Linked DNA regions of Schizosaccharomyces pombe. The gene in region 2 interacts genetically with the main gene of each other region. Each region holds a gene or a part of one and is shown on either strand. Other genes may lie near its edges. The genes, in order: wsp1 and dip1.

What was found.
Region 1: mutations in dip1 (region 2) and wsp1 are lethal when combined (synthetic lethality), as found in Schizosaccharomyces pombe (one study listed by BioGRID).

The regions. Positions count from the first base shown.
Region 1 is NC_003424.3:4,860,507-4,865,579, forward strand, and holds wsp1 (actin assembly factor), read right to left. Parts: upstream 3,002-5,073; 5' UTR 2,943-3,001; coding exon 2,727-2,942; exon of another isoform or gene 2,642-2,726; coding exon 1,301-2,641; exon of another isoform or gene 1,251-1,300; coding exon 1,118-1,250; exon of another isoform or gene 1,059-1,117; coding exon 1,024-1,058; 3' UTR 747-1,023; downstream 1-746. Other genes in the region: btf3 (nascent polypeptide-associated complex beta subunit), read right to left, coding at 113-522, 681-726; SPOM_SPAC4F10.16C (P-type ATPase), read right to left, coding at 3,455-4,031, 4,078-5,073. UniProt on the Schizosaccharomyces pombe protein: Has a role in regulating actin assembly, so regulating polarized growth.
Region 2 is NC_003423.3:2,340,584-2,344,883, forward strand, and holds dip1 (endocytosis protein Dip1), read right to left. Parts: upstream 2,588-4,300; 5' UTR 2,568-2,587; coding exon 2,513-2,567; intron 2,418-2,512; coding exon 2,328-2,417; intron 2,208-2,327; coding exon 1,228-2,207; 3' UTR 819-1,227; downstream 1-818. Other genes in the region: coa6 (cytochrome c oxidase subunit VIb related protein), read left to right, coding at 87-266, 413-505; cwf14 (G10 protein), read left to right, coding at 3,121-3,152, 3,223-3,602, 3,647-3,675; msh2 (DNA mismatch repair protein), read right to left, coding at 3,874-4,300.

The DNA.
Region 1 (5,073 bases), on a different chromosome or scaffold from region 2:
CGAATTACATAATTACGATTTTTCAAATTACTGATAATACCATAGTCACTTTACATATATTAGCACCCAAATCTTGAGTCAAAAATCCGACATGAAATATTTTGTTGCTTATTTAATCTTGTTCGTCAAACTTTTCGACAAGGTCAGGAATTTCTCCATCGTCGGCTTGTGCATCAGCTCCCTTTTCACCTTCACTGACCTTTAATTGCTCAGCCATTTGACGAAGGGCAGTCAAGGATTCAGGACCAAGGTTGTTCAAAATGCCAGGCAAAATCTCAGACAAAGTCTTTTCCTCTGCTTTACCATAGATAGCTGTAGTTTCATTAGGAAGCGAGGAATGAACGGTAGGTGCACGGAAATTAATGACTCCGCCATCTTCCTTGAACATGTTAACCTCTTGGATGCCAGCAAGGTTTTGCATATTCAACTTTTTCAAGGCACCTTGAACCTTCTTGTCATCAGCAGCACTCATGGCAGACTTAGAAGGCTTCTTCACCTTACGACGAGGGGTACCCTTTCCACCTATACAATGATAAGTTAATTAAGCAGTTCTCTATGAAAAAAGTACAACTGTGTTTTCAATAGCCAGCATCAATTACAGTGGAACCACTTTGAAACCGTTCAAGGCATTTCTTAGAGCTGGTGTCAACTTCAAAACACGGGGATGCATTCGAACATACCAATACGAGCGCCAGCCTGCAACTTAGCCAATTTGGAGGGATCCATTTGTTTCTATTTGACCAAACGTTTTTGGTTGTGGAAGGACTTGAACTTGACGTTTCTAAAGTTGTGGTACCGAAATGTGTGACTGCTCCCATACTTACAATAAAGTAAAGATACACACTGTGTTGCGATATATGAATAGTAATATCAACACAAATTCGCGTTATTCAATTTAGAATAAATGGTGTTTGCTCTAATACAATAAACACAAATCCAAATAAAAATAGTGAAGTCGTTTAACAAAACTTTAAAAGACTGTGTGAATCAAAAAAGTATAGGTAATTTCAAAGATATTAATAACTAGTCCCACTCATCGTCGTCTTCATCCTCTTCGTCTGAAAGAATTAGTAAACTTAAGAACTTTTGAAAAAAAATACGAGAAATCCGGACATACCACTCTGAGCGACTTTGGTTTTACGTTGGTTCAAAGCGCTTGCCAATGCATCCATAAGATTGTTAGAAGGGGGTGCTTCTACCGGAGGATTCGAAGTTTTTGTAGATGCGACACTAGGAGAAGCAGATACTTTCTGGAAAATATTAGTACGAGTAACCATTAAGTAATAATATCAATACTTACCCTGCTTTTCAGTAAATCCATACCACCGCTGGCTCTGATACTGGCCATTAAATTAGCACGGCCGTCTTGTTGAGGCAATTCAGCTATCGAAGCAACAGGCGCGGCGGGCGCAGGAGCTGGAGCTGGAGGAGGAGCTGGTGCAGCGGGAGGCAATGGTGGAGCAGCTGGCATACCAGCGGGTAGAGGAGGAGCAATTGGTGCACTAGGTGGTAGGGGGGGAGCAGCTGGTGCGCCCATAGGTAGAGAAGGTGGTGCACTGGGGGGCAAAGATGGAGGTGCACTAGGAGGAAGAGAAGGAGGTGTAGGGACAGGAGGTGTGCTTGTTCGTGATGCATTACCAAGAGGGGGAAGTGCAGGCGCAGAACGACCAGGAATAGCTGGAGGAGGGGCTGGTGGGTTTGAAACTGCACGAGATGAAGATAAAGGGGGTGGTTGTCTCCCAGTGGAAGGAGCAGACCTTGGAGGAGGTGGAGGAGGAGCAGATCTACCTTGAGGCGGCAAAGGAATTGAGCCAGCAGCATTAGATCTAGGAGGTGGTGGAGGTGGAGGAAGAGACGAGTTAGAAGAACCATTACCAATCGGTGGTTTACCACGATTACGACGGGATGGAGGCGGAGGCGGAGGAGGTCGTTTTTTGTTAGCAGCTAGAGCTGCCGCACTGACTCTTGAAGATGGTGGAGGGAGTGGAGGTTTCGAGGTGGAATTAATAGCAGGATTCATCGAAACAGGAGCGATAGGACGGGGAGGGGAGTTAGGAGGAGAAGAGACAGTTCCATTAGATGGAGGTGGAATTGGGGGAGGAGCAGGTGCAGACAAAGAAGGAACACGCTCTGGGGGACGAGAGGAAGGAATGCTTGGAGGGATGGGAGGTGCAGAAGTACTGGTAGGTGTACCAGCTGATTCATTAAGGTACGCTTTGACGAAATCTGCGTTTTCAGCAATTTGATCCTGGGAAATGCCCATCTTCATTAGAGAATCAATTAAGCTCGGATCAAGCGAATTTAAAAGCTCGGGCTCATTGGGACTTTTAGATCCAACAGCATTATAATTTTCCTTTCCAGGTACAGGAGGAGCAGCTGAGGGAGGTTGGATATTGCTGTTGTTAGGCGCATGTCTAGAAGAACCTTTTCTGGTAATAAATGACAAAACCGGATTCTCAATTGATTCAGGATGGCAACCTTTATCTAAAACCTTTTTGTAAAATTTTTGAGCGTCTGTCTCGTTTGCAAAACTAAAACCTGCTAGGCATTTATCAAGCTCGAAAGAATGAAAAAATGTACGATCTTGGCGATAGTCCATATTTTGATAAAGCTCTTGGTCCCATATTATACCACTATTATTCTAAAACGTTAGAAGGTTATAATTCAATTAAATTGTATACCACTCTTTGTAGTTTGCTTTGAGTATCAAAGCTTCATACACATACCACAACGTCAACCAGTTTAAACCAACAGCATTTTGCTGTTGTATCATAGGACAATACAAGAGCACCACAAAGACCTGTATAATTCCATTTGTTCGGATCAGGATAAGCTACATATAGCTTGACGACGGCTGCTGCAATGATTTTATTTGTGCTTTTAGGTATGTATTTACGGATAGTTGCCTTATCCTCTTGAGTTATAGAGGAAGATGGAGGCATTTGAATTTTCGGATTGTAATGCAATTCAAAAATTGCTGTCTCACAGTGGTATAAGTGGTGTTTTGGTTCCTCCCGTTTGTTAGCATTTTCACTGTAGTTAACAAGCCAATGAGTGATAATTAGTGTAGTATACTATACTACGCTATGTACTATAAAAATTTGCAACGCACTTATTAGCAGCTGGTAAATTTTGCTAATTATATTAACTGTTTATAGATTAATAAAACTTGAGACATTAATTCGGGTTTAATATTTTTTACATTCTACATACTTATCGTCCTCATTGTAAAGAGGTAAATAAAATTTATTCAACCATACGAAGTTTGCTTGTCTCATAATGTTAGTTTATTATAAGATTATTAAAAAAATGACTTAATCATAATCATTAATTATTAGAAAAAAAAGGGAACATTAAGAAAAAGTCATTCGTGATGTTGAGGATAATAAAAAGACTCTCGTCCGGTAGGAGTAGTATAACTACATAAACAAACAGTGCGAACTCAGATGTATGGCTACTTATTAGAATCATCGAATGAAACTGAAGTAACAATACCGGAATTTTTTTTCGAACTTAATGGGTCGTTACATTGTTCGCACATTTCTATATCTGTTGCAAATGATGAACTACTGCTAGTCTCATCATCTGACTTTGCACAAAGTCGTCTCCGTAAAAGGTCAATATCTCTAGGATAAAACAATTTTTGTAAGCAAATATAGGAAAAGCGAGGCAACAAACATAAGGCAATGGTTAAAACAGTAACACACCAAAAGCCAAAAGTTTGACAAGTTCGCGAAGCTGATTTGTGGAAAGCGTAAGAGGGGCCAACTTCTGAATAAATAAATGTCCATATCCAAAATACACCTATGCTGAACATCCAAGTAATAAGTGATATTAAATTCAATCTCTCTTGATTCATCAATATAAAAATGTTGATTACAAAAATAGTAGGAGAGGATATAAAAAGTCCTATGTCTTCTATACACTCGATGTTCCTTCCAGTCCAACTTACAAAATCACCAAACTTAAAAACAAATAGAGCTACCCCAAAGCATACCAATGATTGATATATTCCATCTAGCATGTAAGACCTAAAATAAATATTTAGCAAACAGAAATCTTCAGAGTTATACTTACCAAAATCTCTTTCCGTTCCATTCTAGACCTAAAATTCCCCGTTGGTATAAGCTTGGATTTTTCATTGAAACAGATGCGTCAACGTCCTGGTCAAAACAACCTGCAATAATTACGGGTAGTGATGTGAACAGCAGATTAAAAAGCATCACGTAGGTATAATCAAATATGTAGTTTCCATCAAACTCGTTATAAAATTGATACCAAAAAAGTATAAATGTCCAAATAACATTTTTGTAAAAAAAGAATGAAATCATTTGAGACATTCTTTTATAGTCCCATCGTCCATGAACTAGAAGTAGTCGCCCTAGGAAAGAAAATTGACCGATGGCATAATCCGCCGACATTGAAGCTGCTTGCCCTTCAACGCCTTTTATCCCTACTCCAACGTCGGCTTCTTGAATCATCGAAACATCATTAGCGCCATCTCCAATTGCTAAAGTGACAACATTTAGACTCTTCTTGACTAAAGCAACAACAGCTGCCTTCTGAGAGGGACTAACCCTGCAGCACAAAACTGTCTTACACTGCTTACATAACATTAAAAAAAGAAAAGAGACCTGTTCAGACAAAACAAAGTTCAGGGCATCCCCATCAATAACTATGGCGTGTTTCGGAGATGGCGGACTGTGGTCTTTCAACAAAAATCTGAATTCTTCATCCGTTCCCATGTATCCAAAATTAAAGCATAATGTGTTTCTAATAAAAGCTTCTACTTCTTCTAAGGCACCGAAAGAGTTTGCATCAATTCGAAAAATAGTCATGTTTGGATCAAGAAGATTGCATGAATACCCAATGTTGATTGCCGTTTCTACCTTATCACCAGTCAACACCCACAACTTAATTCCAGCAATAGCCAAAAGAGCGATAGTTTCTGGTACATTCTCTTGAAGTTTATCTTCAATTGCTGTTCCACCGAGTAATTCAAGCTCTTGCTCAATCATCTCTGAAACTTTACTGACCTTTTCGTTCCGTTCATGAATGGCACTATTAGCTTCG
Region 2 (4,300 bases):
CGATTGGTACATTTTAACTATTATTCGTAAAACTCATCACCAAACGGCCTTGTTGAAATTTATTATTCAAGCTTTGTTACGAACTCATGGCTGGTAACGGCGCATTACGAAGAAGTGCTCGAGAAAAATGCTGGGAAGCCAGAGATGCTTACTTTGGTTGTTTGGATAGGCATTCCATTTTGGATGGATTGAAAGATGATACAAAAGCAGCCCAGGCTTGTTCCGCTGAAAAAACCGCTTTCGAAACTGATTGCGTAAAATCTTGGGTATGAATCGCCAAAATTGTAAATGAAATCTGGCTGGTATGAAATGAAACGAGAAATTCCGATTTTGCAATTCTCTTGAATTATTACCTTAAAGATCTCCATTACTTCTTTTTTTCTTTCTCACTAACATTGTTTTTCTGGATTAGGTCAATTACTTTCTAAAGTTTCGAGTTCAACAGCATCAGCAACAAGAAGCTATCAAAAAACTCGAGGCTCAAGGCGCAAAAAAGTTGAATTAGCTGTTCCTGAATACTCTCATACAATCTCATTGCATCTAGGTTTCCCCCATCCTAATATGTTTTCATTTTTATGCTTAAGTACTTATTACTCATCTTCAACTTTGGCAAATCAAACAAAGCGGTATTTTTTTTTTCCTGCCCTTCCTCTGTTTACTCTGTTCTTTCATTTTTGATGGTGAAATTTTTAACTGAACCCTTTCAAAAGAAAGTTTTGTGTTTACGAATAATCACCTATTTTTTCAAAGACGACGATGAATCTAAATTACGTTGTCTAACTTGCACATTTACGATCACCGAAAGTTACAGAAAATGTTAGATGATTGATAGGGGTATTATTAATTAAGCATTCCTATATTAGTTTATGCCATTCTTCACGTTTGTTATTTAAAAATTTTCTTCACTTCTTCTTTTGCAATGGATATGTCTAACTAGAGATTTTCTATTCATTGATATGAAAATTGCAGTGTTTAAACTTTTAGCATTTTCTTTGCATTCCAAAGAAATTTCTCCAAGTTTTATCAATTTTCTGCAAGAAGTAATACGCCAAAACTGGCTTTTCAAAAAACAACAGACTGGCAAAAGGAGAGAGAAAGTATTAAAAAAAAGAGTGGAAAGGAGATTGGTTAAAATTTGCAATTCTTTTTGGTTGATCTGACAATAAATGAAGGAAACGAGTGAGGTGCTTTAAAAAAATAAAAAGTTTTTCAGTAGTAGAATAAAAATTATTGAGCGGTTCCTAATGACTTCATCTCTTGTTGAAGCCACGGTACTTCTAAAACACGTATGGCAACATCTGTAGTACGTGCATCTTCCATGTTGCTGCTTTTTGAGTGAGAAATTAAGACATTATTGACCGCGTCGACTATACACTTAGTTTTGTAATGAGGTGGATGGCGCACCTGTGTATTTTCAAGCAAAGGAATCAAAACTTGCAAATATGCATACCGAAGATCCGAAAGCTCATCGGGAATATTGTTTATTTCGCGTATGAATATATCAATTAGGACATTGAGATCATTGGTATAGAATATCTCATACGTAGCGGGAGTTGTAAAAAGAAGGAATAGTTGTTTTAGTATTAACATTCGAGAGCGTGGATCCTTTTCTCGATTTAGAGTGAAAACTAGGCCTTCACTGTAGATACCGTTATCCACTTTGGAAGAGCTCAGCAAATCCATTATGCCATTTGCGATTTCAAACGAACCTTTGGAAGCAAGCCGAACAAGCATAAACTGTTCATTGATGCTAAGCAATGTCAAGACGCACATTCCAAAACTGTCCATGTCCTCATCATTCCAAGCTTCTTCCGACGTTTTGAATAGGTTTACTAAAAAATATTCATCAATTGCGACTAAGTCGGTCGGTGAAAGTCGTCTCGAGCGACAAATATAGTACACTAAGAATAAAGCATAACGAAAAGATGTAAAAGCAACATTTTCTGAACGATCCTTGAACTGTTTCATTGCCTTGATCAAGACGGGAATGAACCCCGTAGAAGCCAACAAACGCAAGCAGTACTCATTCTCTTGAATTTCGGATTGAAAGACAATGATTATGAATTTCAAAGTTTGTTGTTCTTTCAAGAAAAAAAAGCAATCATAGAAAATACTTAAAACGGCGTTTTCGTCTAGTTGATAAAGCGGACTATTGAGGAACTTTTCCATACATCTCTGCAATTGGAATTCTGTAATTAGGTACGGTTCTATTGAATTTATTTTGTTAGATAAGATGTTCTATAAAGAGACAAACACTCAATTTCTTTGTATTTCATCCATAGGAAAAACACGGAAAATTGTGCTTCCCCAATTCTCCAAAACATTACCTCCATATTTGTTGATAAAAGAAAGAAACTTTGAAACACCAATTTCCAGTTCATTTTTTTCGTATGGTATAGTTAAAAGTTCGTCAATTTCTGTCACCAAATGTTAGCGTCAACGGGAATACTATTTAGCCAGGATAATGAATCCCAGGCACATTCAAGTTTACAATTATGAATAAATTGCATACCCGCCAAAAATTGCTTTTCATTCTCTAAATTATAAAACACATCCGTGAACTCCATGTGGAGGTTAGGGAAGGTTTAATTGCCGCTTTCTCATTATCGAGCCTAGTATTCAATAGACAAAATTCTCGCTAATATCCATCGATAATCAACTTTAATATATGATTAGTAGTCAACACAACAGAGCGTCAATGTTATACCATGAAAACAGTATTGTAGTATTATAGTATACAAATGCATCTGGTTCCCTTTTGGCCATATGTTAAGGTATAAAATATAGTGGAGACACAAATTCAAAAATTCTCAATTATCCTCAATTGAAGAGGCTATAATTTAATTAACGGAGAAAAAACTTAGTTTCTATAGTTAAGAATATCTTGCAACAGTTTCAATCGCGGCAGTCTATTTTACAAGGAATTTACACTGGATTCTCACAAATCCAACTTGCCCATAAGTACACTACCACCAAATAAGTAAAAGGATAAAAACTACCCATCACTAGATTTCATTTTATCGGTTTCTTTATATTTAATCTCTTTAAAGCAAGCATTCCTTATTCTGTGTTGGTTTATTGAAGAAAAGTCGTAGTTTGCTTAAAAAATATTCTGTTATCATGCCTCGTCTTCGAACGTCAAGAACCAAGCGGTATGTATACCAAGTATTTTCCTTGTTACCTTTATTTTTACCTACGAAGTAAGATTCTAATTAGCTATAGCCCTCCTGACGGATTTGATGAAATAGAACCCACCCTTATTGAATTCCAAGATCGTATGCGTCAAATTGAGAATACAATGGGAAAGGGAACTAAGACGGAAATGCTAGCACCGATTTTTCAACTTCATCATCAGCGCAGTCGTTATATATACGATTTATACTACAAACGGGAAGCCATATCTACCGAACTTTACAACTGGCTGCTAAAACAAAATTATGCCGATGGAAATTTAATCGCCAAATGGAAAAAACCAGGATACGAGAAACTTTGTTGTCTGCGCTGTATTCAAACCGCTGAGTCAAAATTTGGTTCAACGTGTATATGTCGTGTACCTAAATCAAAACTTGATAAAGATCAACGTGTGAGATGTACTCATTGTGGTAAGTAAAGAAGTGCTATTGCTACCAGTTGCTAATGAAAATAGGTTGTAATGGTTGTGCAAGCTGTGATTAATTGGAAAACTAGTGGTTCGTTTCCCATTTATATCTTTTTATTTGGTTATTATGGCAAATGAAACAGTTTTGGGTTATAAAATTCATTGATCTATGGCTTTTCCTCGTTTTAGTAAAAAATTATTTTATTCATAAAATGCGCTTCCAAAAAACATGTACCTTGGTTGAATTCTTTCAATTAGTACCTTGCTCACATTCTTCATGAGGAAACCTCATTTGTGGATACCCTGGATTGTAGCCAGTTGTTGGAATTGATTTGCTGTGCGAATGAGCCGATGACTTTTTGAAATTGGTCCATCATTTGTTGCTGAGTCATTTCTGGTTTGACGTTGCTACGCCATTGTCTCATTATATCACGTACAATTGCCATACCTTCTTTTTTAGATTTCACTTCTTGAGTATCCCCTTGGGCTCCAGAGTCTTCAGCTTCTAATTCTGCGGCTTTGTTGCTTGCCATTTCAATAATCTTGGGAGGGAAGTGCGCAAGTTTAGCAACATGGATTCCAAAACTCCGATCACTAGCTCCTTCACAAACATTATAGAGTAAAGCTACATCCTTCGATTCTGAATCACCTACATAGGCTGTAACATGCAAATTTTTGACAGTAGTGATTTCTTCTGATAGT